Saccharomyces cerevisiae S288C: one gene and its partners. The gene in region 3 interacts genetically with the main gene of each other region. Each region holds a gene or a part of one and is shown on either strand. Other genes may lie near its edges. The genes, in order: STP1, PDB1, UTR1 and SPE1.

Region 1 (7,708 bases), on a different chromosome or scaffold from region 3:
GATAGGGGCCATTCGTGATCTTCACTCTTTGGTCTCGAAAGAATCCTGCGGACACCGTCAGGCGATTTATGTAATCCAATAGTGGATAGCGAACCTTCAATGTCATTCAGACGATGTCTTGCACTTGGCTGAACATTACCCTTTACAAAGTTGAAGAGAGGAATTTTCTTCAAAGCAGATGAAGGTACCTTCATTTTCTTTTCCTTTTTCTTTCTTTCCTTTTTCACCTTCCTCGGTTTTTCAGCTTCCTGTGATCGTTTCAGTAGCTCTTCCGGAGTCCATCTTCTGTATGGTTTTTTTGGTTTACCGCTTTTAGTTAGTCTTAAATCTGGGGGATAAGGTGGACCTCGTTCAACAATTTTTTTCAGTTCCTCTTGTTCTTCAGCCAACCTCTGCTTCTCTAGTTTTTTTTTATGTCTCCTTTCCTCTCTGGCAGTTTGGCGTTCAAGTTTCTCTTTCTCCTTTAGTTCTTTGTTTTTAGCCCATCTTTTCTTTCTAGCCACAGATGCAGCCTCGTTGGCAATAGAGACGTATTTTTTGCGTAACTTCTTTTCTAAAGATACTTCTGTCTTGGAAGGTTTCTTCGGTTTTGAAGGTACTTCAGTCAATTCTACACTTGAGGCATCTCTAGATGCCTTTTTGGAAGCTCTCCTAGATATAGCTGTTTTCTTTTCAGATTTGCTCGAACTTTTAGGCACCGATTTCTTTTCCATCCTAGAAAGGTTATCATGCGGCAGTAAATCGGAAACACTCAGATCGCCTAAACCACGATTAAAGTCTTCAACAATGTTCTCATCAAATTCATCGTCGTTTTGATTTTGAAAAACCATAGCCATTGCGTTTTGCATGATTTGATTCAAGTCAAGCGAGTCATCATTAGCTGTGCTTGCATCCTCAGTAGTATATTGACTTTGTACAGGGGAAGTAAAATCACTTTCGCTTTCTAATTTATTATCCTGTGTGGCAGTATGCGTTGATGTTTCTTTTAATGAAGTGTTAACCACTTGGTTAACCATATCGGCTAATATTCTGGAAAATTCATCATCTTCGTAAGCTTCTTGAGATTTATTACTTTCCTTTACAGTTTTCTTCTTTTTCTTTTTCTTGGAGGTAGATTCAGATGCAGGTGATTTATTTGCTGTAGATGCAGCCTTGGATGTCTTACTTTTTGTTTTTTTCTTCTCTTGAGGAGGCCTCTTTTTCGGTTTAAAAGCCTGTAACATAGCCAATGGAATATCGTCTGCAGTCGGTTTTCGTGGTGGTTCAACTGCTTTTCTAGAAGATACAGGCCCAATCGACTGTTCTTGTGAAGGCTCCTCGGTTGGCGCAGAGCTTAGCAGCTCGTTTTCAAATGCTTTTAGTGTCGCTTCCACTAAAGCTTGCGCTTCCACATCTTCGTTGTTTGTATTATCAGTATGGGAGTTATCTTGAATATCAACTGTTTGTTTGGCAGTGTCTATTGCAGCATTGTCATTTTCATGAATCAGATTTTCTAGTATATTACTTAAATCAAGGGTATTTTCATTATTAGTAGGTTTACTTTGCTTTTCTTTATTACGGTCTTTGGCATGCTTTTTGGAATGGCTCGAAGATTTACTCTTCTTTGAGGATTTATCCTTTGATGATTCTCTGTTCTTGGATTTATCTTTTTTCTTTTTCTTTGAAGATTTTTTGCTGCTCAACTTATCATTCGGGGCAGCATGCTCATGTTTTTCCGGCTCTTTCTCTTCCTCCTCATTTGTGTTTAATTCTTGTAGAGACTCTAGGATAGCCATCCTCAAATTTTCATCATCTTGGTCGAGAGCGTCATCAGTACGCTGAGAGGGATGGTGCTGACTAGTGCTTACACGCCTTTCTGTATTCTCCCGCAAGGGCTCTCCGTCTGATTTTAATATTTCCTGCTGTAAGATATGAGCCCATTCTTGCTGTTGTTCTTTTTCGTGATTATCATCCGCTGTATCCGATGTTACATGTTCTGATCCATTTTCCAGATGATTTTCCGGTTTGGCTTGCTCATCGTCTATATTTTGAACCGCATTTGCAACGACAGATACTAGCTCATCTTCTTCGTCGACAAAATGTGGTATTTCGATATTCTGGTCAGGAGAATTATGCATATGCTGGCTGTCATCTGGATGCTTTGGTTCTATATTTTCACTGGTAGGATATATTTTTTCAAAATCATCTCCTTCCTGTTCTCCTCCTTGCACTTCTCCTTCCTCTTGTCCCTCTTGGTTATGTGAGCTTAGTAAGTTCCCCACAAGTTCATTAAAATTTATCTCTCCATCATCTTCATCATAAGCCATGGCAGAATATGATATATGGTTAACACCTTACTGTTTTTTTTTTACCAAAAAAAAAATAAATGATAGAGGTGTATAAAGCGTTCTAAAAATTACTTTCCTCTTACACTCTACTAGTGTCAATAAATGTGCATTTATTTGTTTACTACTTATTTTTCATTGTTTTCAAAATTTGACCTTTATTTGTTATAGCATCATCGGTAATCAATCATGAAAAAGAAATCACAAACGTCAAAAGTGATAATATCTACGAATCGACTCTATGCGCTGAAGATCAATAATAAAATATTGGTGTTGCAATCACTTGGTTTATTTAACATAGTAGTATGAAAATTAATTAGTCATGCTAAAAGTTTTTATATAGTATACAGCAGTACATTTATAACCTTTTATTTGTTGTTACCTGATTTTTAATATTGTCTCCATTTATTAACTCAATAATTTTTACCCATCGGCTTTCCAATATGATACCCTTATTTTTATCCCGTGTTATATTTAATCAAAATTGTGACCCAAAGTTGTCATTGTAAAAATTCAAATATTGTTGTGTCTCTCTCATGTGATTTTCGCTGAGATATTCTGGATTTAGTTGTGATTGTAAGATTTGTGAGATTTTTGTGTTATCATACTGCGTGCAATCACGGTTGCTTTGTGTGGATATGATGGGATATGACATTGCGTCTTCGCTCAAATCATATGAAGATTGTTCAATATCGAGTGGCAGGAACGAAGGATTATCTTGTGCCTGCTGCTGTTGATTTGTGAAGCTGTTTATGTCAATCAAAAAATTCTTCATTTGCTTGCCATGGAACATAACTTCAGCGGAAGATTCCGATGAACTAGAAGGGACGGGCTCGAGTAGATGAGTATCAAAAGGTGAAAAAATTGTGGCGGATGAGATTTCATCAGGTGCCACTTCTTGATTGTTTTGTGTAGCTACCTCTGGTGTGGTTACCGTCGATCCAGATACCTGTTGCTGCTTTTTCTTGATATATTTTCTCTTTCTCTTGGGTATGTCGACTTTAAAGTTTTCCGAGTTTAACATTAATTTGTTGTTTCCGTACTTGGATATAATATCATTGCCCGAACTGTTATTAGCCACTATGGTCATAGCCTCTACGGCATCCTTGTTGAAAAGTACTTTAGGTTCTACAACACTTTGCGAAGTGGATATGAATCTAGAATGACCATTAGATGTCTTGATCTTCCTTAATTTTCCAGATCTTTTTTCATTTTTCTTGGTATACCCCTGCGGTAAAGCTTTACAGTCCCCAGACTCAATGTGATTCTCAACGAAATTTTCAATGGTGGAAAAGTATTCACCACATTGAGCGCAATGGCCGGACGACTTGTTACGGTCTTGTGGTTTAACACCTTTGGGGTACAGCACGTGCCTTGCCTTCAAATGAGTTTTATAAGTATCGCGTCTGCTAAAACCACCCGAATTGTGGCATCTAAGATCAGGAGGAGTGGCACTGTTAAAAAATGGACAGTGATACGCCTTTTCGATGGCGTGCTTCTTAATATGTCTCGTTAGATATCCTCTAATCCTGAAAGTAGCGTCACAGTAGTGACAAATGAACTCCTCTTCGCCGTTGTTCAAGACCTTGGTGGAATGTTCTGGGGTGGAGCCTGATGGACTTAATGGAGAGCTTGTGACACCAGTAGACATTTTGATAGGGGCGCCTGTATCTTGTTCTGGCCTTGATCCGAGCAGTGACTTGGCATTTACTTCTGATTTGATACGATTCTCAGGAGATAGTGTGATCGATATTGGCGTGTTCAAATCGCTGACATCCATGGAGCAAGGGATCACAGAGCAGCCACCATTTAAAGAACGGTCTATATTATTTGATTCGGGAAACAAACTTGTGGTAGTCTTTTCTTCATCTGCTGCATCTTTGCCTTCCTCCTTTGTCGCATTTTCACAAGAATAATGATGACTTAGATCTGGCTTGGATATAATAACTCCGCTGACGAGCTCTCTGAAGAACGCGTATATCTTGCCTGGAATGGCCCTAATATGTTTCTGCGGAAACAGTAGCGTGGTAGAGGGCATTTTTGAACGAATGTGGTATAGCCGGTATAGTTTGCCTTTTCCTTTAGTCTGTAATGTAAATCTACTTTTAATCAATGAGTCCTTGCAGTTTATACAAGAGTCAGCTTGCTTTTTTTTTCGCTTGCAGGGATGGGAAAAAGCAGTAAAAAAAACGTCAATAGTGATACAGTTCATGTCATAATTACCACATGCCCTTTATATGTCTATGTACATATAATTATATAAGTCCATATATACGTGGCATTCTATTGATCATCAGTTATTTACAGCAGGAGACAGTCAAGCGTTCGCTCACGCTATCATTTTCGGAAGTTATAATGCCATAACGTATTTGGGGGGAAGTCAGTGGGCACCTTCATTTCCATCGGGAATCGCTTGCCCTTCTCGGAAGCATTGGCAGCCTCAAACAGACGAGGGCTGAGTTCTTGTAGAAGGTTCATAGATCTCTCAATGCTCTTATATTGTAATTCCAACTGTAAATTTCTGCGCTCCCGTTGTTGCTGCTGATAAATTGACCAACACTTCTCAATGGTCTGATGTTTAATCAGGTCTTCACGCGCCAGCTTCAGCAACTTGGGCTGCTTTCTGCTTGCAGACATCACACTCAACTGCGTGACGACCCTTTGTGCCAAAGGTGACAGTGAGCTCTTGCTCTTTGTTCTCTTATTTCTGATGAAGACCGTGGTCCCAGATACCTGTTCTAGAACGGCTCTGTGTGGTTTTTTGAATGTTTGTGCCAGCATGTGTTATCTTCGTTGTGTAGCGTAGGTCTTCGTCAGTTCAGTATCCTAATCTGCAAATATCTGGAGGTATATTAACTTATGCTTCCCTCCATACAGGCAGGCCCCAGTCTGCTTCATCTTGTTTCTCGCTGGGAACTTTTGTCGCCCCATACGATAGTCACTGTATACGTAATTCTCAGCCGTGCATATTTCACAATAAAGACAGTCTAAAGGGACAAAGGCAAAGCGTCAATGGACAGACGACAATTAACTGGATATTATTTTATGTGTTGAGTATTCAAAGCACATAAACAAAAACAGATTATGATGGATAGCGGAAAGAGTGATATAAATAAGCATGCATACAAGGAGACAGCGACCCCGCTGCCCGTAGATCCGCCCTCTTACGAAGAAACAATGAAGCAAGATAAGGAGGAGGTCGAAGCCGATGAAACGACATCTTCCGCACACAGAGACAGCTTTATGAGGCCTGTTTACACTCACCATCCGCATCCAAGATCCCACAAGGGATATCCGGGTGCGAAGACCCTTACATATACTTCACGGTAGGTGGTAAGCGGTATATGTACATATACATATATATATATATATATATATATATGAGCGTGTGCATGGATGTACAACGATAACAAAAGCAGGTACAGGGTATCAAAATATTTTATATAATATAGTTACTTAGGATATTTATTATTAGGTCTAAAAAGAAATATTACGAACAAACATGATATATTGGTGTAGCGGAAAAGGAAGATAAAGGAGGGAGAACAACGTTTTTGTACGCAGAAACTAAGCAATAACACATGCTGGGTCCCAGAAGACACCTTTGATAATATAGTTGTCCTTCTTTTCACTGCTGGTCTTTTCTTTTGGAGCGGCGGTAGCGGTAGATGGTTGCATTTCTATTCGATGGCTTTGTACTTATTTTGGTTTTATCCGAGAAACAGTTACAGATCCCTCTCATTAATTCATTTCTGGCGGTTTATATATGAAGACTCTATTTCATTTTTTTACTTGATTTTCAGCAACCACTGAATCTGTATCTTTATCTCTACCATTTTAGGTTTCTTAACTGTTTTTTCTGATTACTGGGTTTCATTTAACATGTAAATTTCCTTTTTGGGTAATTACACACTCGTTTGTAACAAGAACAAAGAATAAAGGTATGGGCCAACCGTAGCAGTAGGTGCCTTTTTTCTGAACACTGAAACAGATCGTGAATGCATGTATATGCGTACATAGAAAATAAAAAGTAGTTGATTACATAGCTTATGCCACGTTGCACACTATCCTGATGTTTTAAAGCTCCTCGGATATAACACATCCTAAGCCCATAAATGCCTCTGTCAACACCCTTTCGTACGCATAATTAGTGTTGAACCCAGACGCAATAAATTCTTTCCTGTGCTCAAGATCTTTGATGAATGGGTCATTGTATACTGAACCTTTCAACGTAAACCTTGGGTGTGCTTCTCTATCACCGTTAAACGGCGTGAACGGTACAGCATCTTTGAGTCTCGAATTCTGTACGTTCACATTTGAATTGAAATATGGATTGTTTTTCAGAACTCTATTTAGTTCTTCCAATTTCCTTCTAGCGGACGATTTTTTCAATTTAACCGTATTTTTAACGCCTTCGATTGTTTCATTGATATCCTGGGTGGTCGTACTCAACCGGTTGACGATTTCTTTCTTTGTCCACTCTTTGTTCATTCTTTCCTCCTCTTCGATTTGTCTTTCCAACAGTCGCTTCTTCAATTTCATCTCCTTTTCGAATTTTTGTCTCTGTTCGAAACTTTCTATCTCTGTTCTGCTTCTCTCCAAGTTATTCATAATCAGTTGCTTGTTTAATTCCTCGTAGGTGCGTAGTTTCTCCTCGGTCTTAGCCACATCGATCCCGTGATCTAGTTTGTATATAATGTCTTCCACCTCTTCCAAATATTTGTTATATTCCACAAGGTCACCATTGAAGTCATCGATAGTTTTGTTGAACACATTGAACACTCTCTTCCTGATGTCAACTTCTTTCTCAACTTCCACATCATCGAATATTTGGGTCTTGAACTTATTCTTTCTAAGAATCTTGTCACACCCTTTATATGGACACTGGGCAGGACCGAGACTAAATATTCGATCAACACACGACTCACAGATCCTGTGATAGCATTCAGGATTCACCAAAAATTTCACATCCGGAGAAAGGTATCGATCTGTCTTACAGATCGGACACATGTCCTTGTTTTCCTCATACTCATCCATAAGCATTTTTCTTTCACTTATATTTACTTGTGTGCGGGGGCCCACTAATGCTGCAAATCCTAAGAGGAAACAAACTCAAATTTTAACAAGCAGTTCAGTTTCTTAGCTGATGATGAGTGCTGTCTTGTGCGTCTGTTCTGTTGTATACTCTCTTTAGTATTAGTGCTTAAGAACAAATTTACGAGCGAACGGCCCGATTTGGACCATTTAGTCGATTTTTTTTTCCACTATTTACGTTTTAAATAATAGTAGCATAAACACAGCACTCAAACAAAACAACTAATTAGGCGTATATCTGCCCGTTGTAATATTTTCAGAACCTAGCTAAGGTCCTTTCATCGCGACAC
Region 2 (7,536 bases), on a different chromosome or scaffold from region 3:
ATACTTTATTTGTGCCAGGAATAGTGCACTGATACACGGTGAAGTAGTTGATCATGGACATAATGATTAACCGCGGCCATGTCCCACCGAAGTTGCTGAGGGTATTTAACAATGTCATATATGTGCCACCCAGCACGGGGTCTGCAACTCTTGTATGGAAGGCCGATATTCCAATGAACTGGACAGTATTCATGAAGGAACCTAAGAGGTGCTGGAATATCACGAGACAAAAATAACCCGTGGATATTTCACCATCCTTGGGGAATTGCTTCACCACGTAACTTCCCAAGACCGCGGCTGCCAGACGGCCCAAAAAGCCCCACAACCATGGTGTTAAAACGCCGGCATCCCCAACTAAGAACTTGATGACCTTGTTGGTGCCCGTGCTGTTTCTTAATCTTCTATTGTCACGAATCATGGGGTCCTTGTCGGAGCTCCATTTAACAACATAGTACCCAAATATGATTTCGAACGGCAGGTCTATGAGTACTGTCACAGCCAAGTCTTCTCTTTTGAAGCCTTGCTCTAGTAGTTTCAGGTTTGTGGCGGCTTCGTTGCATTGAAAGGCAAATTTCGAAATCATGTGAATGAAGGCTAGGCTTCTTACGGACTTCAATTTCAACACTTTTATAAAGCAGCGGTAAATGTACTTTATACTGCTTGTATTCTGAGTTGACACCACATCACCGTCGTCATACTCAATACTTATCGGCTTTGACCCTCCGTCACTTGTATTTATGGGCTCCACTTTGGGCAAATACTCTACGTAGGGTTTTTCCTTGGTGCAAAAGATGATATATATGGTTATTACAATGTAAAGCATGCCCGAGAATTTCATGTACCCACCAAGACTAATGAACCCGTGATCCAGTGGGATGTTTCTGAAATACTTATTGGCGAAATCAGAGGAATTCAACGACAGGAAAATGGTAAATGACATAAAATAACCAATATTCAAACCTATTGTTTGCGCGGTAGATGCATATGATAGGGATTCTTTGGACAAAATCGTCAACGCCCAACCATCAACTGCGATGTCTTGAGTGGCACACAGAAAAACTAACAGGCCAAACCACCACGTCAAATTTTTTATACTGACACTGTGTAAAGTGCCATTACCGCGATTATGGAACGCATCGTCGACACCATCGAAGATTATGCCTTGTGATATGCACCACCCTAATGCCCATAGCACAAATCCACTAACAAATTGTACTGGAATGATCCATGATCTTCTTCTACCGATGCGCTTGTTGTACAGTGAGTCTACTATTGGTGACCATATGATCTTTAAAGAATATGGATATGTAGCCATAGAGAAAATTCCCAGTGATGTAAACGAGGTCTCCTTTGCTAAAGATTTCAGTAGAAACGGTACGGTACCGAAGGCCAATCCTACAGGTATGCCTTGAGCCAAATATAACATAATTAAAAGATAAAATTGCGGCAAATCATGCTTGGCTAGTGACCCGCTCTTTCGCTTAGGTTCCATGCCTACTTTTGTTTTATCCCCCTATAACTATGGTATATTATACTGCCTCACCAAACGTTTAGGTCTTGCTTCTGCTTCCCACAGTAGCTTACGCATTATAGCCGATTTATTTTTCACTTATTTTCGCATGCCAGAGTATCTTTATTTTCTTTCTTTCATTCAGCCTGTCGTCGAAAAGAAAAAAAAGAAAATAAATATGTGCGTATTCTAACCATGAAACAGGAACTCATTCAATGTGCACAGTACTTATCTCATTCAATTTTGTAAAAACAAAATATATACATTGTATGTATGTGTGTATTTGCAGTTATATATCTACTAATAACCAGTACGCCATACATGTCTTGATTAGCAAAATATTATTTATGTTTTTCTCATTAGTACTATTTCCGCGAAGAGGGTAGAAAGTGTAGGGTACAGGGAAAAAAGTTCCCTATCTCCTTCTTTCTCTCCTTCCTATTGGATTGAAGTTTATTTATTCAATTGACAAGACTTCTTTGACAGCTTTAACGATGGTTGGAGTATCAGGGAAAGCGAAATCTTCTAATTCTTTAGCGTAAGGTGTTGGAACATCGGCACCAGTAACTCTTTGGATTGGAGCATCCAAGTAATCAAAGGCTTCAGACTCCATAACTTGGGCGACAATTTCAGCACCAACACCAAATGATGGGAAAGTGGATTCAACAGTAATCAAGTGGTTTGTCTTCTTGACAGTTTTGATGATAGCTTCAGTATCTAAAGGTCTAATAGAACGCAAGTTGATAACTTCTGCAGAGACACCATATTTCTTTTGTAGAATTTCAGCGGCTTCCAAAGAAAACTGAACGTTTCTTGTGTACGTAACAATGGAAATATCGGTACCTTCTCTTTCGATCTTAGCCTTGTATGGCAAGGTGAACTCAGGGGATAAAGCTTCTTCTGAGATTTCAAAAGATTCACCGTACAACAATTCGTTCTCTAAAAATACAACAGGGTTTGGATCTCTGATGGCGGCCTTTAACAAACCCCTAGCATCTTCAGCAGAATAAGGGACAAGGACCTTTAACCCTGGAATGGAACCGTACCAAGGAGAAAAGTCCTGTGAATGTTGAGCACCAACACCCACTGCAGCACCATTAGGACCTCTGAAGACCATTTGACATTTTTGAGTACCACCAGACATGTAGTGAGTCTTTGCAGCGGAATTGACAACATGATCGATAGCTTGCATAGAGAAATTGAACGACATAAACTCTACAATTGGCTTCAAACCCTTCAAAGCGGCACCAACGGCCAAACCTGTGAACCCGTATTCGGTAATAGGTGTGTCAACCACACGACGTTCACCGAACCTGTCCAATAAACCCTTTGACACCTTATAAGCCCCGTTATATTGTGCAACTTCTTCACCAATAAGGAAGACATCATCATCACGGTCCAATTCTTCCGCCATGGCACTATTCAAGGCCTCTCTGACGGTCATCGTCTTTGTTGATGAGAATCTCAATGCTGCTGCTGCTGCAGAGGGTCTTACAAAAGAAGTTGGGGCACGACGTGCAACATTTCTGGCCAATGATGTTGGCAGTCTGGAAAACATGTTGAACAAAATTATTGCAAAAGTAAAAGAACTTACTAAACTGCGATCGATTATCAATGAACAAACACAGGAACTGTTATGAGGGAGGCGGAATTTAACGTCCGAGTGTGTAAATGATACTAAATTAGTCTAACAAAAGGAAGAAACTTGACAGAGATAATATCAAGAGTCGCTGTTGCAATCGTTAACCTGTATATGTAGATACACCTCTTTTTATTGCAAACGTGCAAACGCATGACTTTTAATGACGGAGAACTTCTTAGTTGAAGACTCGTCTCTTTTGCATGTTCTCCCACTTCGAAGTCTCGGAAAACAGACCCCGGAAACAGCCGCGACGAAAAAGAATCAGCTTAGGCATGATAAATACTGTGGTTTCATTAGATAGATAAAATACATAAGTATTGGCGTATATAAACGGGTGCCAGATAGAAGCTTTCAGAGAGCATAAAATTGTACAGGATACTGCCTACAACTTACTCTTATTTCTGCTGCTCTTAGCAAAAGTTTCTGCGATAACTCTTCTCTGGATTTTACCTGTAGCGGTTTTTGGTAGCTTATCAACAAAGTACACCTTGGTTGGAATTTTGAAAGAGGCTAGGTGCTTCTTTAAGAAGTTCACCAGTTCTTCGTAGGTCATTTTTTCTCCCTTCTTCAAAACAATGGCGGCTTGAACTACTTGGCCGTACATATCGTCGGGAACACCAAATGCAACGGCTTCATCGATCTTTGGATGCGATAGCATAATGCCGTCGAGCTCAATGGGTGAAATCTTTTCACCACCCCTGTTGATAAGCTCTTTGATTCTGCCTGTAAGGACCAAAAACCCCTCAGGGTCGAAATAACCTTGGTCACCGGTTCTGAAATAGTTCTCTCTCTTGGTGAAGTTCTCCTTGTTAGCTTTTGGATTATTAGCATACCCCAAAGTGACGTTTTCGCCTCTGATGGAAACTTCGCCGACTTTGCCCGGGGGCAAGACATTGTCATTGTCATCTAGAATGACGACGGTGACTCCTTGTGGCTGGCCCACAGTACCAGGCTTTCTCTTTCCTGGAGGCAGATTGTTTGAGGTCATTTGATGTGATGCTTCGGTCATCGCATAGGCCTCCAAGACAGGTGCATTGAATTCCTTCTCCAGCTTATGGAACGTTGCTGGAGCCAAAGCAGAAGAACACGATCTGATGAATCTAATGTGTGGGAAAGGGTTTGGTTTGGGCATGTTCAGCATAATCATGCTTATTGTGGGAACGCAACTGAACCAATTACAGTTGTACTTAACAAATTGGTCCCAGAATAACTTTGGATGGAATCCATCGGGAACCACAACAGAACCCTGAGTTCTAAAAGTGGAAAGTAAAACACCAATTAACCCATGGACGTGGAAAAGAGGCATCACGACATAAGATCTGTCCAAGGGCGTTAGCTTGTAAGTGTTAGCAATGTTCAACGTGCTTCTCACAATGTTCAAATGTAACAAAGGCACCGTTTTTGGAGTGGAGGTGGTACCACTGGTATGCAAAATCAGGGCAACGTCACTGGAACGGGCAAACCCAGGGAATTTAACGGGATTTGTGTTGACAAATTTGGCGTTGTTCAAAGACCGGTAAATAACCCTTTTGTAGTTGTCCTCTGGAGAGTATATATCATACTCTACCCTAAACCTGGTCGCATCGAAGGCCAGCTCTACGATAAAACATCCAAACGTGGAGGCAGATTTTAGAATTTCAGAACTCTGTAACTTTGTGGTACCCTTTGGGACGCAAATCGCCTTAGATTTCAGGTCATTCAAATAAAAATTGAACTCCTTTTCCTTATAATTGGGATTCAAGGGCGCGCCAATTTTAGCGTCCATAGTAGCACCGAGGAAAGCGACGATAAATTCCAGCCCATTACGCATGGATATCGCCACTGTATCTTGTCTGAAAACAGCTCCGTACAATGGAGAATTAGGATTTGTGAACATGGTCTGGAAGTGACCCACCATGTGGGATAGATCCCTGTAGGTCACCTGAGTGTCCGTTTCAGGAACAATAACGGCGACATTATCGGATACGCTAAAAGTATCGTTGAACGAAGCAGTAACAGTAGCGGCACTTGTCATTGTAGCAAAAATGTGCGTGAAGCGTCTAACCTCTTGCAGCACAGTGGGAGTAAATTTCAAGAAGGAGCATCTATTAAAAAGAGCTTTTAATCATACCATCTCTATTTATATACAGTTAATCTTGAAAAATAAAAAAAGACCGAATAAAGGACTCGGAAGCTTTAGCTCGGAATAGTTAAAGACGCTTTCGGCCCGAGAAAAAAATATTCTGAGCACCAAAATCCAATCGCCTGAAGTTTATCAAGTAAATTTGCCATTCCTGGCCCCATATAGTGATGCCTAAGTGGACAGCAACATCGCGCTCTTACTTGTTAGTCGTTCTCATGACGAGCAAGGCAAAAGCACTCGTCCTCAGCTAAGTCGTATGGTATGACTGGCAGCGTGAATGGCACGGCCACATGGGTGGGATTACCCGCGCAGCCTCTACGGTCACGTGTAAAAGTACGGCACGTGACCTTCCTGGTATTTGCTAACCTGCGACTATGGTAAAGCACTCCTGCTTCATAATTGCGTGGTTTTCTTGAAACGGTGCCCCATGCTGTTTGGCTGAGGTTTGCCGAAGTATAAAGGCACCATTCTAGTTCTTTAAATACCTGCGATGCATCACAGGGCCCTGCGGAGTTTGTTGCACAATGCATGTAAAACTTAGAGTGCGCGGGCGTCGTCCCTCGTCTTCTAGTAACCATAGCAGGGTCTTGCTTGTAAAATACTTTGAACTTGTTTCGCAGCATTTCGTAGTAGCTCTTTTTCTGAAGATATTGAAAATGAAACCACCCGGAACTGGACCACTTTAAGGGACTGGTGACAAACTCTTGTTCGGTGGGGAAAATAATGTACGGCTTGATTTTTCTCTGCGAATATTCATTAATCAATGAATTCGTTGGCAGTATTTCTGCTTTCTTCCTCCCAGCGGTGTCCTTTGCTGGAGGGGACATGATTCCGGTAAACAGAGGAATCATTAGATGTGTCCATAAGTTTTCGTCTCGCGCTCTTGATAGAGATGTCCCTATGGATGAAGTTTGACATAGATAATGTTTTGCAGTATCACTAGCACTTGTGCCAGCAGAAAGTTTTTCTAGTTTATTGTAAAACGACAGTAAACCCGACGACTGAAATTTGGAGGGCGTAGAATATACAAATTCTAATTCGCTCAAAGGAGCAAAGTTAACTTCCTCTACGCTTTTTGTAATCAATTCGTCAATGTCTTTCAGGTGGTACGAATTGAGGTATTCTATCAAGCTTCTCTTAAACGGTACTGGTAGCCCTTCTTTACCTATTTTCAAAAGGGGACTGCACCAACACACCTGTTGAGGCAGGTTAGTCTCCATTGACGTAAAATTGTTAGATGGCAAGAATATTTTGCATTCGCCATTATCGTAAAAGTTTATGATCAGCTTCGTATGGTGGGAAGCGAATGGGGGCATCGTTATTTCAATAAGTTTGACCTTTTTTAATATTACTGCCAGTGTCGCGTCCATAGCACGGGCTTCGATAGGCATAATAGTACCCTTTTGGCCGACGATGGTTATGTTCTCTACGTTCTGGTGGAATTGTCTCAACAAGAAATCAAGTTCGTATTGGAAACTGAAGAGTATGCTTCTTTTTAGTGTCTCAGTGCCAAAGATATCTTTCAATGTAATCATATCCTCTACTTCTCCCATAAAATCCTCTCTTTCATAGAAGTCCGATTTCATTAGTTTAAAAACGGCACCTTTTGCCGTATCGTTTGTTTCTATTCTCTCACTCAAATCTTGTTCCTGATTAGTCAAATCAATGATTTTCGATTCACTGACTATGACGCAGTCGTCGCTATCATTGTTACTGTTGACCGGAGCCATATTCTCCATTTCAGCACTATACCTGACGCTCTTCCACCGTTGTGCTACTTTCTCGGCAACATCCGACCTCTTCCTCTTAGTTCCATTGAAATTTGTTTCTCGTGACATTAATGATCGGTTGAAAACACATTATCATCATTCTTGTCTGGGCTCACCGTTTCTCTGCATTATTTTCCTCTTTATAAGCCCTTTATTAAATTACCATTTTCGCAGTTTAGTGCGGCCGCCGAAAATACATCAGAAGGGATCCATACCAACACTTACCAAGAACGCTGAAACACGTTGTTCACATCACCTGAAACAAGCAGCAGCTACTGGAGAAGTGTGTAAAGTAGTAGTAATTATTAAAGGACACATATTGAAGGATTGTTCAATTTTCTTTTTTATTATTTTTCCCCTCATTTATCCACTTTTTATAAACTGCTCAAGTAAATACAATGGGCTCCAATAAGGAAGCAAAAAACATTGATAGTAAGAATGATAGGGGGTTAACCAGTATAACCAGTAACAAAATTTCCAACTTAAAAGCACA
Region 3 (7,698 bases):
AAGTGACTATGGTATCAAACACCAATTAACACGAACGTAGCGATAATGAAGGCAACTTCGTAGCTGAAACAGAACGAAGTTAGTTAGGATGAATAATTATGATTATGATTATTATAATATTATATAAAATGTATAAATAAGATTTCTAGATCAAAAAAACATCGCGTATTTTGTAAGCTATAGAAATCTAAAATATCTAATCAGATCTTGGAGCTTCCTTGAAGGAGATGGCAGCTTCTTCACCCATGGCAGAAATGATAGTGACCATCAAATCCTTACCTTCATCGAAAGCAGCTTGCATGCTGTCACCCAATTCACCTTCTGGTGCCTTGACATCGTCTTTGGTTTCACCGTCCATGGTCATCAAGGACAAGTAGCCATCATCAATATCCAACAATTGGTATTCGCTTCTCTTGACAAATGGAACTTCCAAGTTGTGAGTGGATGGAGACAAATCTTCCAACTTCTTACCAGTGAAGATATCAAGGGTAACCAAATGGACCTTGGCGTGACCGTGCTTACCGGTCTTGGAAGTGGACATGTCGACAATCTTACATGGTCTACCTTTGATGACAACGAAACCATTCTTTCTCAAGGCAGAACATTGCATTGGGTAGGTGGCGGAGGCACCAGCGTCAGCATTTTCAAAGGTGTGTTCTTCGTCAGACATGTTTTAGTGTGTGAATGAAATAGGTGTATGTTTTCTTTTTGCTAGACAATAATTAGGAACAAGGTAAGGGAACTAAAGTGTAGAATAAGATTAAAAAAGAAGAACAAGTTGAAAAGGCAAGTTGAAATTTCAAGAAAAAAGTCAATTGAAGTACAGTAAATTGACCTGAATATATCTGAGTTCCGACAACAATGAGTTTACCAAAGAGAACAATGGAATAGGAAACTTTGAACGAAGAAAGGAAAGCAGGAAAGGAAAAAATTTTTAGGCTCGAGAACAATAGGGCGAAAAAACAGGCAACGAACGAACAATGGAAAAACGAAAAAAAAAAAAAAAAACACAGAAAAGAATGCAGAAAGATGTCAACTGAAAAAAAAAAAGGTGAACACAGGAAAAAAAATAAAAAAAAAAAAAAAAAAAGGAGGACGAAACAAAAAAGTGAAAAAAAATGAAAATTTTTTTGGAAAACCAAGAAATGAATTATATTTCCGTGTGAGACGACATCGTCGAATATGATTCAGGGTAACAGTATTGATGTAATCAATTTCCTACCTGAATCTAAAATTCCCGGGAGCAAGATCAAGATGTTTTCACCGATCTTTCCGGTCTCTTTGGCCGGGGTTTACGGACGATGGCAGAAGACCAAAGCGCCAGTTCATTTGGCGAGCGTTGGTTGGTGGATCAAGCCCACGCGTAGGCAATCCTCGAGCAGATCCGCCAGGCGTGTATATATAGCGTGGATGGCCAGGCAACTTTAGTGCTGACACATACAGGCATATATATATGTGTGCGACGACACATGATCATATGGCATGCATGTGCTCTGTATGTATATAAAACTCTTGTTTTCTTCTTTTCTCTAAATATTCTTTCCTTATACATTAGGACCTTTGCAGCATAAATTACTATACTTCTATAGACACACAAACACAAATACACACACTAAATTAATAATGACTGAATTCAAGGCCGGTTCTGCTAAGAAAGGTGCTACACTTTTCAAGACTAGATGTCTACAATGCCACACCGTGGAAAAGGGTGGCCCACATAAGGTTGGTCCAAACTTGCATGGTATCTTTGGCAGACACTCTGGTCAAGCTGAAGGGTATTCGTACACAGATGCCAATATCAAGAAAAACGTGTTGTGGGACGAAAATAACATGTCAGAGTACTTGACTAACCCAAAGAAATATATTCCTGGTACCAAGATGGCCTTTGGTGGGTTGAAGAAGGAAAAAGACAGAAACGACTTAATTACCTACTTGAAAAAAGCCTGTGAGTAAACAGGCCCCTTTTCCTTTGTCGATATCATGTAATTAGTTATGTCACGCTTACATTCACGCCCTCCTCCCACATCCGCTCTAACCGAAAAGGAAGGAGTTAGACAACCTGAAGTCTAGGTCCCTATTTATTTTTTTTAATAGTTATGTTAGTATTAAGAACGTTATTTATATTTCAAATTTTTCTTTTTTTTCTGTACAAACGCGTGTACGCATGTAACATTATACTGAAAACCTTGCTTGAGAAGGTTTTGGGACGCTCGAAGGCTTTAATTTGCAAGCTTCGCAGTTTACACTCTCATCGTCGCTCTCATCATCGCTTCCGTTGTTGTTTTCCTTAGTAGCGTCTGCTTCCAGAGAGTATTTATCTCTTATTACCTCTAAAGGTTCTGCTTGATTTCTGACTTTGTTCGCCTCATGTGCATATTTTTCTTGGTTCTTTTGGGACAAAATATGCGTAAAGGACTTTTGTTGTTCCCTCACATTCCAGTTTAGTTGTCGACTGATACTGTTAATAAACTCATCGGGCGAGGCTTCCACGGTTGGAAAAGCATATGGGCTGGCGCATATGGTTATAAAATCACCTTTTTGCAATTCAATTCTATCTTTCCCATCAAAAGCCGCCCATGCTGGAGCCCTTGACTTCATCGAGACTTTCACTTTTAAATTTATACTTTCTGGTAAGATGATGGGTCTGAAACTCAATGCATGTGGACAAATGGGTGTTAAAGCGATTGCATTGACGGTTGGGCATACCAATGACCCACCTGCACTCAAAGAATAGGCCGTGGACCCAGTCGGAGTAGCAGCAATCAGTCCGTCCGCCTGCGCAACGGTCATTAATGAGCCGTCACCATACAATTCTAACATGGATAGAAAAGGACTTGGACCACGATCGATGGTCACTTCGTTCAAAATGTGGTGTGTGCTTAGTTTTTCCACCACACATATTTTCTTCCCCGTGTTTGGGTCTACTTCAGGGCGGTGTCTACGATAAATTGTGCACTCCAACCTCAACCGTAAATTTGTCTTGATTTTATGATTCATAATCCGAGGTAAATCCTCCCTGAAATGTTCAAACTTAAAATTTGTTAAAAATCCTAGAGACCCTAATGAAAACGACATAACGGGTGGTACATGTCTCTGAAAAATGGAACTTACAAAAAGAACAGTACCGTCGCCACCCAAAGTCACTACCAAATCGAAGAAAACATCATGTTCCCTGATGAAATCCTTTGTCCAATACTTGATCCTTGATTCTCTACATTTACTATCTTCACATAACTCGCCAGCGGCAAATTTTTTGCTGTTTTTCAATTCGGAATCCACATAAACAGTCACACGTGGAAAATGTACCAAAACCCATTCTACCAACTCTCTTGTTAAGAAATACAGTGAGACATCGTTGAGTTTCGTAACAATCATCAAATTTTCCACATCCAGTTCCACTTTGGTATTAGATATATCTTTACTCAACATTCTTACACCATACGCCGTGGAGGCATACTGAAAGTGTGTATTACTACTCTTAGAACTTCCTCTTGTTCCGTTAATGCTCGTACCACCGCCACTGTTTGCATTGCCGTTCACGAGAGATGAATCTTTATTCAACAGGGAGCTTCTGCGCGAGCTGCTTTCACTTGATATTTTCCTCAACATTTCTTTGGCGTTGTCGATATCCTGAGTTCTATCAATTTGCTCATTGTTCATCATGGCCTTCTTCATCAAGTTATTATTGTTGTTATGATGATCATTTCGACCATCTTCCTCATTTACCCATTTATCTACGCCATTATTCATGTCATTCTCCTTCATCTCAAGAGCTTTTACTCTACTTATTTAGGGAGCCTATTGTATTTTTTTTTGGCTTACGATCACGATGTCAATGATCATTTGCCCTATTATACCTTTTTCTCCGTTCTCTTTGCGTAGTGCGGTGAAATAATTTCAGGATGCATGAAAGAGCAAATAAAAGTGACACACCGTTATATCGCAAGGCGCACCACATCAGTAATCAGATACCTGTGCATTCAAAATGAGTAGAAATGTAGATAAGGCCAACTCAGTTCTGGTACGATTTCAAGAGCAGCAAGCAGAGTCGGCAGGTGGATACAAGGATTATTCACGTTACCAGAGGCCCAGGAACGTGTCTAAGGTAAAATCCATAAAAGAGGCCAACGAATGGAAGCGACAAGTAAGTAAAGAGATAAAACAAAAAAGCACAAGAATATATGATCCGTCTTTAAATGAAATGCAGATTGCGGAACTTAACGACGAACTTAATAATCTTTTCAAAGAATGGAAGAGATGGCAGTGGCACATTGACCATACACTTATGGAAAAAAAAACCAAGAGGAAAAGGTTAGAAGACAGTCATGTGCTGATGAATTCAGGAAAGCTGATAAATGGTAAGAGATATTTTGGAAGAGCCCTGGAATTGCCTGAAGTAAAAGAATGGCTCAAGCAGTCTCAAAGGCAGAATGATGGGGGTTCTATAAACACCAAATGCATACCGAAGGATAGAAATGATTTTTATTACCATGGCAAAGTCACAGCCGCCTTAACCGAATTTGAGGCTAACTGGACATCCATTTTGAAAGCACATTATAATGTGCCTGTGAATGAAGATGAAGAAGAAATGTCAAGGCAGACACAAGAAATCCATGTACCAACTCTGGCAGATATGGAGCATTGGTTAGTGCAAAGAAGAAAAAAGAAACTAATGGATGAACTTAACCTTTAGCTATGGAAAATTATTCAAACATTTAGAAGAGGCACTATTTCGAATGACCATCACAAGCATTATAATCTTCAAACATGTCCGAGCTGCAGATATGAAGTAAAATAGTGATCGGGACTCATTTTTTTTTCTTCTATGATATCATATTGTCCCGTTCGTTATTAAATGTAATTCTTCCACCGTACTAGTTATCGAAGGCAAGATCTCCTTTTTACGCTTAGGTAGATTACATAGATTTCATAATGTACACCAATACAAATGTATCTTATACACTCGTCAAATCTTATATGAATCATGCAGGAGTAGCTCTCGTTTTCTTTTTACGAGCTACTTGAAAAAAAAAAACTAGCGAAAATCCTTTGCTTAGAAATCCAGATTTAAAACAAAACCGCCGAAAAGGGAAAGATTTTATGATAGGAAATACCTTAATAATTCTATATCATCCCGAGTCTTAGGAAAATGATTAGATCTGTGAGAAGGGTTTTCATTTACGTCTCAATATTCGTATTGATAATAGTTTTGAAAAGAACATTAAGTGGCACAGATCAAACGTCAATGAAACAACCAGTGGTGGTCATTGGCTCTGGTTTGGCAGGCTTAACCACAAGTAATCGTCTCATTAGTAAATACAGAATTCCTGTTGTGCTTTTGGATAAGGCGGCTTCTATTGGTGGGAATTCTATAAAGGCTTCTAGTGGTATTAATGGTGCTCACACAGACACTCAACAAAATTTAAAGGTAATGGACACTCCCGAATTGTTTTTGAAAGATACTTTGCATTCGGCTAAAGGCAGAGGGGTTCCATCACTGATGGATAAGTTGACTAAGGAATCCAAGAGTGCTATCAGGTGGTTGCAAACAGAATTCGATTTGAAATTAGACCTCCTTGCGCAATTGGGCGGTCACTCTGTTCCAAGGACCCATAGATCTTCTGGCAAATTACCACCAGGTTTTGAAATCGTGCAAGCGTTATCAAAAAAACTAAAGGATATCTCTTCCAAAGATTCCAATCTCGTGCAGATTATGCTAAACAGTGAAGTAGTGGATATCGAGCTTGATAATCAAGGTCATGTTACTGGTGTAGTATATATGGACGAGAACGGAAACCGTAAAATCATGAAGTCACACCATGTCGTGTTTTGCTCAGGTGGATTTGGTTACTCTAAGGAAATGTTGAAAGAGTACTCACCAAATTTGATTCACTTGCCAACTACTAATGGCAAACAGACTACAGGTGATGGTCAAAAAATCCTTTCAAAGTTGGGTGCCGAATTGATTGATATGGATCAAGTGCAGGTACACCCTACCGGCTTCATTGATCCAAATGACCGTGAAAATAACTGGAAGTTTTTGGCTGCAGAGGCATTGAGGGGTTTAGGCGGCATCTTATTGCATCCCACCACTGGAAGAAGGTTTACAAATGAATTGAGCACCAGAGATACAGTAACCATGGAAATACAGTCTAAATGTCCGAAAAATGATAATAGAGCACTTTTGGTAATGAGCGACAAAGTCTACGAGAACTATACGAATAACATAAACTTTTATATGTCCAAAAACTTAATCAAAAAAGTGTCAATCAACGATCTGATCCGACAATATGACCTACAAACTACAGCTTCTGAACTGGTAACTGAACTGAAGAGCTATTCCGATGTTAATACTAAGGATACGTTTGATAGGCCATTGATTATCAATGCCTTTGATAAAGATATTTCGACTGAATCAACTGTTTATGTTGGGGAAGTTACACCAGTTGTTCATTTCACAATGGGTGGTGTGAAAATTAATGAGAAATCTCAGGTAATTAAGAAAAATTCGGAAAGCGTTCTATCTAATGGGATATTTGCTGCTGGTGAAGTTTCGGGTGGTGTTCATGGAGCCAACAGATTGGGTGGATCTAGTTTGTTAGAGTGTGTTGTCTTTGGAAAGACAGCTGCGGATAACATAGCAAAATTGTACTGAGAATTTATAGGGAAATAAAAGATATTTTTGCAACGTACTTTACATTTCAATAATTAATGCGACATGATAGGATATACTGTTTGCTATTTCTTTCCGTAACGATATACGATTTTTTCTTTTCTTTGGAGTTCCAAATGAAGAATATATCTTGTTGGGAAAAGCTATAGTATTAGGTTTACAGAATATGGTAGAGGTTTCTCCCCGACGATATAGGAATCTACAAGAGAGAGCATGATTCTACACGATAATACTGCAATTTCTTCTTTGCGTTGAAGTGTCACCATTGCCTATCCTTTTACATTATCAATGTCAATGTTCCCTCTTCTAACAAACTGAATGACTTTTCTACACGATTCATATTATCTTCTTGCGCAGTAAATTATGTTAACGTAATAGTAGGGTCTCTTGTGCTTCATTATTTTGTAACTGTACACATAATTGACACGTTTAACAATTAGTGAGCGCAAGTGGTTTAGTGGTAAAATCCAACGTTGCCATCGTTGGGCCCCCGGTTCGATTCCGGGCTTGCGCAGTTTCTTTTCTTTTTTTCTGGAAAATAAGAAAACTTATTTATGGAAGCAAAAATGGAATAAAGGATTGGGACGAAGTTAGTGAAAAAAAACTGAAATAGTCCTAGAGTAACTCCGAAGTGTCTTTGTATAAGCTATTATCTAGAAATCACGAGAGGGGAAGAAATGTATCGCAGTAGAAACCGACCAAAAAGAGGTGGAGAAAATGAAGTTAAGGGACCAAATTCTGCCTTGACTCAATTTTTAAGAGAAGAAGGGATCAGTGCTGAAAATATCAAACAAAAATGGTACCAGCGACAGTCGAAGAAGCAAGAAGATGCAACAGACGAAAAAAAAGGTAAAGCGGAGGATGATAGCTTTACTGCCGAGATATCTCGAGTAGTTGAAGATGAAGAAATTGATGAAATTGGAACAGGTAGTGGTACCGAGACAGAAAGAGCTCAGGTTTCCTACGATGCCAGGATGAAATTAGTCCCTGCTGATAGTGATGAAGAAGAATATGAAACTAGCCAC
Region 4 (7,541 bases), on a different chromosome or scaffold from region 3:
CAATTTCTTTTAACTTGTGCGACGGAAAGATCGCTGTTGCGTAATTATGCTTGGCTGGGCGGCATGTGAAGTTTTTGGCCGTCGTTTGTTGGAGGCCAGGGGAGTAGTGAACCGTGCCTGCACCTCGTGTATCGTGATGCGGAGCAGACGCTGCTATAACCCGGCCTCCGAGGAGCCGTGGGTGCACGGGCATGGAAGGCTGATGCGGACCTTCTACGGGTTTTTTCACATGCTGCCGTTTGCTGAAACATCTTAACTAAGCCTTCGCGCGGCCATACGGGCCCTCAAGACATTCATTACTTGGTATAGAAAGGTATATACGAAGGCAAATAGCCATATTCGTAGAGGACGAGACCGCATAGTACAGCGGGATGTTCCCATAATAGATGTTGTTCATTCATTGTCTCTGGAGTTCTTTCTGCCAGCAAGATTTTGATTTGCGTAGAACTCCATAGACATACTTGCTTCTGGACCACCCCTAGAGACCACGTTGTCCATAACGAGGTCGCCATCCAGATCGTCTGCCAGCCCGTCGTTCTGATACACGGGCGGCCCGTGAAGGGTGTCTCCAAGCCCAGAATACGTGGCGTTGAGATCTTGCGCACCCTCAAACGCCATGCTTGGATCTTGGTATTGTTCCTGGTCTTGATCTTGTACGTCCTCACCGTGCAGGTCCATGCATACGGCTAGTGCTTCGTTACAATTGTTTACCAGGTCATCGCCCCTGTTCACGCCGAAGTTTTCGAAGGTGAAAAGGGTTTCGATTTCGTTGTTATAATGGCGATCGTATATTGAATATTTGGGCCTGATAGTCAATTCCACGCTGCGCACGGTGAAGGCATGTGCTTCTTCGCCGTCGAATTCGCAGGCCTGTGGCGCGAGGCTTTGGTAGAGCATGTCCAACACTTCGTCTCTTTCCAAAGTCAGCAAAATTTCTAATTGAAGCCCTTCCCTACCATCTGGTAGCCGTCTTGATGCATGGTACAAAACGCTGCTGTAGGGAATTTCCAGCCCATATCCCAAGCCATTGAACCAAATGATAATGCAGCTGTTGAGTATAAACAGGTCTGTGCCATACTCACTGGTGTCTTGTGGGTTGGCTTGATTGGACAAATGAGAGCTCGAACAAGGTGTCAGGGAGCCTAGTATCAGGTCCCGACCTCCGCCAAAGAGTATTATGTATTCTTCATTATTCAGTGCAGAAAAGTTGCCGTTGAATCGCGGCTGCGTCTTCTTGAATTGGTTATATGGTATGACGTTTTCGACCGATGGTTTGGTCCTTGCAATTTGGCACTTTGGTTTTTTTTTCATCATTTTTCTTTTTATTTTATGGTTGATGCTTCTTTTGAAATAAATATTCGTCTATCACTGTAGCTATGGTCTATCTTGGCCTGTGTTGAAGTATGGTGAACAATCCGAAGTAATGGATGTATTCAAAGATCTTGCTATACCGTAGTAACGTTCTGTTCATGAACTTTTTCTCTGTTTTTGTATGTACAATTGGTACTTTATTTTTGGTTTTCGCAGATGTCTATGTTCTTGCGTCGGCATTTTTCCAAAGTAAAAAGGAAAAAGAGACAAAGTTTAAGCATTTACACTACCAAAAAAGATCTTGTTTCTTTCTAGCAAATATACACTAAACATAAAAAAAAATTATAAAAAATTGTAAAAAAAATATAAAAAAATACTTTTGTGTACAATGGCGTACAGTGGTGGACAGGAAAAATGCCAGAATTTTCTTGAATCATCATTCTCTGACTCTTAAATAGCGTGTATAACTCGTTCATGAACACTCAAATTCTTAGTGACAATGGTTGCATTCAGCCTTTTCCCACCCCCTCCGTCTCTCTTGCGAAAGTCGTGGTTAAATATATCCTTCAATCGAGTTCAGAGTCTATGTATACTATATCCGCAGTCTGCTCAAAGCCGTTGAATTGAGTAGCCGCCGATGATGTGTAGGCACCCAGGGCAGGAAAATAAAACCAATCACCGACTATAACATCATGCTTCATGTAATACTCTTTGGCAATACAATCCAAACCATCACATGTGGGTCCCCAGATGGAAACTTTATATGGATACTCAGATCTTGTTTTGTTGATAGAGTCGAGGACCGCAGTAGTGGATTCAAAATCGTCGTAATGAAATTCCAAATTATGATAAAGGGTTCTTGGATGGGGCTCTTGATGATCGAATAAAATACAATTCATGTTCCCGTATACACCATCGTTAGTGTAAATCATTGCTTCATTCTCAGACAGTTTTCTCTTCGCAATCACATGAGATGCCAAAGTGAACGCTGTAGCTACAAAGTATCTGCCAGGCTCTGCAATTATATCAACACCACAACCTACAGGGAAAAATTCCTCTAGCGCTAGACGCAAAACAGCAGTTGATTCTTTGAAGGATTCAAATTGAAATCCACCACCTACATCCAAAATCTTCAAAGGGGGCAACCCGTATTCGTTAGCAGCTTTGTCAAATACCGTTCTTGCATCTCTAACGGCTTTGTATAAGCTTGTAAAATCAGAAGCGCCTGAACCGACGTGGAAAGAAACACCAGCCAGGTTTAAACCTAGTTCCTTTATAGCCTTTAATAAAACGTCTACGTTTTCCATTTCACAGCCATATTTGGTGGAAAGTCGACATTGAGCGGTAGAGTCATCGGTAGCGATTCTTAATAACAACTGAGACTCAGGATGAAACTTTTTGATTTTATGCAATTCTTCTACATTGTCAAAAGTAGACTTCATTACATTTTTTGAAGCTGCATATCTAATGAAAGATGCTACTTTACAAGGATTAGCGTAAACAATTCTATCCGGCGAGATGTTCATCGATAATACTCTGTCAATTTCCACTTTGGAAGCGCAATCGAAATTAACGCCCAACTCTGCTAATAATGACAAAACCTTGGTATCAGGATTACATTTGACGGCATAAAATGGCTTAATTCTAGGAAGCTCCTTCACCCAGTTGTTGAATAATCTCTTGACTTCTCCCAAATCGCATATGAAAAACGAGTTCTCCTCACCGGGGTCGCACGTTTCATTATTAATTCTACCAATACGAGCCTTGAGCGCTTGAAATATTTTAGGATGCGCTTGTTCATGCGGTAAAAGTTCCAAATCTTGGTTATTCTTTAGTTCAAGCAAAAGATTGTGCAGCGTCTCGCCATCTTTATAATATTGCTTCTTTTGGGTAACCGTAGAATTAGACAAGTCCACTAAAGTAGTAGTGGAACTAGATAGAGCATTTCCTACTTGAGTACTAGACATAGTAAGTTTGAAATTCAAAGGTTTTGATTACTATGAAAAAGTTGTAGAACAATCAAAAAATCTTACCTACTTAAACTTGAAACAAAAGCCGTGCTGAAACCTGGATGATAAACCAAGGAACGAAAAGTTCTTCTGTCCTTTCTATTAACTACACTATTATGATTGAATTTTAAGCTTATTAGAAGCAGGTTCCGCTATTTCAGTGCAATAAATGCTTTTCATTTTCGATTTCAGAATAAAAATCAGGATGACCAATCTATTGCGCAGGAGAAGTTATTAGAATGATTTCACTTCGAAATGGGCGAAAATATCTGCACGGCGCAGATTAAAATTAATCGGTGAAGAAAACGAAGATGCCGCGGCGTGTCGAATGAAAATGAAAGAAAATGAATTTTTATTTGTAGTTTATTTAGCACAGACAAGGAGAGAAATGTACAATTGTTTCGTGATAATGTCTCTTATTAGTTGAAAGAGATTCAGTTATCCATGTATCAATTCTCTACTGTCTCAGTTATGTAATTACAAAATAAGCAACGGTACCCTTCAATTTCGCAGTTGCGTTCGGGGACGAATTCTTTGTCTATTCCATTGGATTTCATAATGTTTATTTCACCCTTTGTGGGGATCTTACGACATAAATCGTTCAAACATCTTGTATGTGTTTTTTTATATCGAAGACCACAAGAGTTACATAGCTGATCTTGCTTTCTTGGCGACCACGATGGCCTCCAACAGGGCGAATCACTCGAATGACACGACACGCACACTCTTGTGGTGTGACGAGTGGGTGATGAGCCACTGGACCTTCTACTTCCCTTTTTCGTTATGCTTGAATTTGATGATCTTCGAGGGCTTTGAGGGGGAGAGTCGAGAGCAAATCTATGATAATTGGGTGACCTTGGGCTTGGAGTGTATGCCTTGGGACGCACAGGTGAGGATGATCTTGATCTCATCTTGCCACTTTTCGTCGGTGTGGAGGGAGATGGAGATGAAGATGCAGAGACAGAACTGTAACTAGCGTTGTCGAGTTTCATCACCAATTGTCTTGCAGTGTTACCGAAAACATTTGATGCTTGCTTTGAGATTTTGTTCTTAGATGGTTTCCTTACATTAGATTTGGAATTGTTCGATAGAATGTCTCTATTCGCAAGCAATTTTTTTATTTGCAAAGCTTTGAAACTGTTCGTCTTTTTGTGACTGGCATTTGGCATGGGAAATGAATTTCCACGTAATTGTCTTTGATGTTTAACTTCTTGAACCAATTTTTCACTAATAATTGGATTGAATATTGAATCGTTATTGCTGGATTTCCCCTCAAAAAAAGAGGCCTCTACTCCTCTAAGCGTCGTGCGCTCCATGGTTCTATTGGTTGGTGGACTCATCGGCGGTGTGACGGGAGGAGTAATACTCCATGCATTGTTGGAAAGATCTTTAAATTGATCTTTAGCTTCTAGAATCGAAGGAATTAGTTTGGTACGATCAAATGATTCCTTAGACGGGGAATGGAACTTGGACGACCTAGTCGATTCCAATTCCTTGCCGTAATTGAAACTATCATTATTTTGATTATTAGTTAAGTTGGGTATACTTAATGGCTTGAAATGAGCCACTTCTTCGCGTATTTTAACATAGTCTTGATAGTTTGTATCCTTACACCAATGGGTAAGATCAGTTTTCCAATTAGATGTACGTTTTGATGTATCAGGGAAGCGTGCTGCGTTTTCTTGTAAAAGAGGACTGGGTAATAATTGCAGATGCCTTAGTGATGGTAGGCTTTGTTGTGGGCGCTCCGGTCTCTTAGATAAAGAGACGGACGATAGCCTGTCTAACAATGGTAGTCGAGGTTGTGAATTAGAGGAAAAACCTAAGCCAGACCCATAGTTCAATGGATTTGTAAAACTAATCTGAGATAAGCTTGCCTTGTTGAATTCTGGTGAATTGCCTGGTGTTAATGAGGAAATTGGATTGTAATCCATATGATGTGGCGATGCTGGTGCAGTATTTGATTTTTTTCCAAGTATTTCGTTAGCCAAAGATATTGGGGAAAGAATTGGCGACACATTGAGCGAATGAAACGAATACTTCCTAGGACTTGCTGAATTTATATTGTTATCGGTTGTGATATTGTTCCTGCTGATATTACTGGATAAATTGGAAAATGAAGGCAATAAAAGATTGTCATAATAGGAGCTATTTGCATGAGAATCCGGACCAGCAGATAATGCATGCAGTGGTGTTTTGATGTATAAGCTTGACATTTTTTTGCTTTTCCCGTTATGAGAAATGTTTTTTTTAGACTGAAAATAAAAGAATGGATAGTATTAAAATAGTAATGAACGTAATAAGGATAGGACAGGAGCGATAGGAAAAGATAGAATTTTGGAGCTTTTTTTCCCTCTTTTTTTGAGCAGGAGCCAATAGTAGTCGGAAAGATGAGTGTATAGATTTTTCGTATTTTATTTCGAGTAAAAATATCACGCTCTTAGGTTCAATAAAAGAATATACTATTTCTTCAAAATGCTTCTCTAATCTATTTTTTTATTTTCCTTAATAACTGAAATATTATTTTTTGATGTAAAATGAGTGAACAAGAATAAAGGATTTTTGGTATGTTTGCAAGTTCTGTGGAGTTCCATGTATAAGGTATACATATTAGAAAAGCTTTACGATTATATACTAACATCATGTACAAAACAGTTTAATAATGATCTGTATTGCTGGCTCAATCCACGTAAGGAAAATGATCAGCCCAATCCTCAAAAATAAAATGGCCCTTCCAAAATTAGAGACATATCGTAGAAATCAGACGCACGCTTGGCGTCAATATCCTAAAACGGAAAACTAATCAGTTAGATGTGTCTTTTTTAGGTAAAAAAAGGCAACCAACTTTTTGCTGGCTAGCGATGCGACAATAAACGCGCGCAGCGAATAAAAATAAGATGGCGGAGGAGCAGAGACTTCTTTTCTTAGAAGAGGTTTTGTTACCGTATGGGGGTATGATGGTTAGATGGCTGAATAAAAACGTTAATTAAAGGAATACAGAAGAGGAAGCGCCCCGATTTCTTTTCTGTTCCACATGAAAGCAGCCGGTTGGGTGGTAGATCTCTAATGACATCCAAACTACAAAACCGAGATTGGACATATAGCACACTCTGCATTTCTACTTTCCTTTCTCCCTACAGTTTGCTCGATCTGAACCGATGCTTCTTTGATTGGACAAGATGATAGACCATGACTCCCTGTATGTATTGCAGAGATTGCCACTACTAACCAAGAAAAGTTGAACGTGTCGTACGTATAAAACGATTTATGCTTAGGCTTTACTGAAAAAAAAAAAGTAAAAAGAGGATGCGCAAACGCATAGAGCAAGTAACTAACCTGTTTTTATAGTATATACTTGGCCCCACCAGGCTGATCGTCAGGCAAAACGCCAAACTAATAACAGTAATAACAGAAATATGAACACCAATAGTAATACTATGGTAATGAATGACGCAAATCAAGCACAAATAACGGCCACATTTACGAAGAAGATATTAGCGCATTTGGATGATCCGGACTCCAACAAATTGGCCCAATTCGTACAGCTTTTTAATCCAAACAACTGCAGAATAATATTTAATGCTACCCCCTTCGCGCAAGCAACAGTTTTTCTGCAAATGTGGCAAAACCAGGTCGTACAAACACAACATGCCCTAACAGGAGTAGACTATCACGCTATTCCGGGATCCGGCACGTTGATATGCAACGTCAATTGCAAAGTCAGATTCGACGAAAGCGGCAGAGACAAGATGGGGCAAGACGCGACTGTTCCCATTCAACCAAATAACACTGGGAACAGAAATCGACCCAACGATATGAACAAGCCAAGACCTCTATGGGGTCCATATTTTGGCATTTCCCTGCAGCTGATCATCGACGACCGCATATTTAGAAATGATTTTAATGGTGTAATATCGGGGTTTAACTATAACATGGTTTACAAACCCGAGGATTCTCTGCTAAAAATTTAGTGGGAAGATTCCGCTCTACCAGGGAAAAACAAAATTATATAGAAAAGAAGGTAAGTAATAAGTAATACGAAAAAACCCAAAAAAAAAATTCAAATACCCCAACCCTGTGCCCTTTCTATTTTTATGGTTGAAAAGGTTACAGAGGATCCTCTGGAGCGGTGACAACAGTTGACGCAATCATGGTCCCTGGCGGTCCCTAAGGATATCTCGGAGGAACCGAGGCACGGAAACGGCTGCACGGGTACGCCAG

The links.
Region 1: mutations in UTR1 (region 3) and STP1 together harm fitness more than expected from each alone (negative genetic interaction), as found in Saccharomyces cerevisiae (2 studies listed by BioGRID).
Region 2: mutations in UTR1 (region 3) and PDB1 together harm fitness less than expected from each alone (positive genetic interaction), as found in Saccharomyces cerevisiae (3 studies listed by BioGRID).
Region 4: mutations in UTR1 (region 3) and SPE1 together harm fitness more than expected from each alone (negative genetic interaction), as found in Saccharomyces cerevisiae (2 studies listed by BioGRID).

Annotation. Positions count from the first base shown.
Region 1 is NC_001136.10:1,383,470-1,391,177, reverse strand, and holds STP1 (Stp1p), read right to left. Parts: upstream 4,363-7,708; coding exon 2,803-4,362; downstream 1-2,802. Other genes in the region: SPP41 (Spp41p), read right to left, coding at 1-2,306; mitochondrial 54S ribosomal protein mL40 MRPL28, read right to left, coding at 4,662-5,105; CMI8 (Cmi8p), read left to right, coding at 5,412-5,654; MFA1 (mating pheromone a), read right to left, coding at 5,892-6,002; TFIIH/NER complex subunit TFB3, read right to left, coding at 6,402-7,367. UniProt on the Saccharomyces cerevisiae protein: Transcription factor involved in the regulation of gene expression in response to extracellular amino acid levels.
Region 2 is NC_001134.8:663,186-670,721, forward strand, and holds PDB1 (pyruvate dehydrogenase (acetyl-transferring) subunit E1 beta), read right to left. Parts: upstream 3,069-7,536; coding exon 1,968-3,068; downstream 1-1,967. Other genes in the region: YBR219C (uncharacterized protein), read right to left, coding at 1-118; YBR220C (uncharacterized protein), read right to left, coding at 1-1,492; YBR221W-A (uncharacterized protein), read left to right, coding at 3,353-3,457; PCS60 (Pcs60p), read right to left, coding at 3,535-5,166; TDP1 (tyrosyl-DNA phosphodiesterase 1), read right to left, coding at 5,478-7,112; YBR225W (uncharacterized protein), read left to right, coding at 7,442-7,536. UniProt on the Saccharomyces cerevisiae protein: The pyruvate dehydrogenase complex catalyzes the overall conversion of pyruvate to acetyl-CoA and CO(2).
Region 3 is NC_001142.9:524,712-532,409, forward strand, and holds UTR1 (NADH/NAD(+) kinase), read right to left. Parts: upstream 3,766-7,698; coding exon 2,173-3,765; downstream 1-2,172. Other genes in the region: ANB1 (translation elongation factor eIF-5A), read right to left, coding at 197-670; CYC1 (cytochrome c), read left to right, coding at 1,624-1,953; ISY1 (Isy1p), read left to right, coding at 3,986-4,693; OSM1 (fumarate reductase), read left to right, coding at 5,150-6,655; UV-damaged DNA-binding protein RAD7, read left to right, coding at 7,351-7,698. UniProt on the Saccharomyces cerevisiae protein: Specifically phosphorylates NAD in the presence of ATP, dATP, or CTP as phosphoryl donors.
Region 4 is NC_001143.9:92,494-100,034, reverse strand, and holds SPE1 (ornithine decarboxylase SPE1), read right to left. Parts: upstream 3,279-7,541; coding exon 1,878-3,278; downstream 1-1,877. Other genes in the region: LOT5 (Lot5p), read right to left, coding at 394-1,314; YKL183C-A (uncharacterized protein), read left to right, coding at 1,428-1,640; DNA-binding transcription repressor ASH1, read right to left, coding at 3,770-5,536; MTR2 (Mtr2p), read left to right, coding at 6,737-7,291. UniProt on the Saccharomyces cerevisiae protein: Catalyzes the first and rate-limiting step of polyamine biosynthesis that converts ornithine into putrescine, which is the precursor for the polyamines, spermidine and spermine.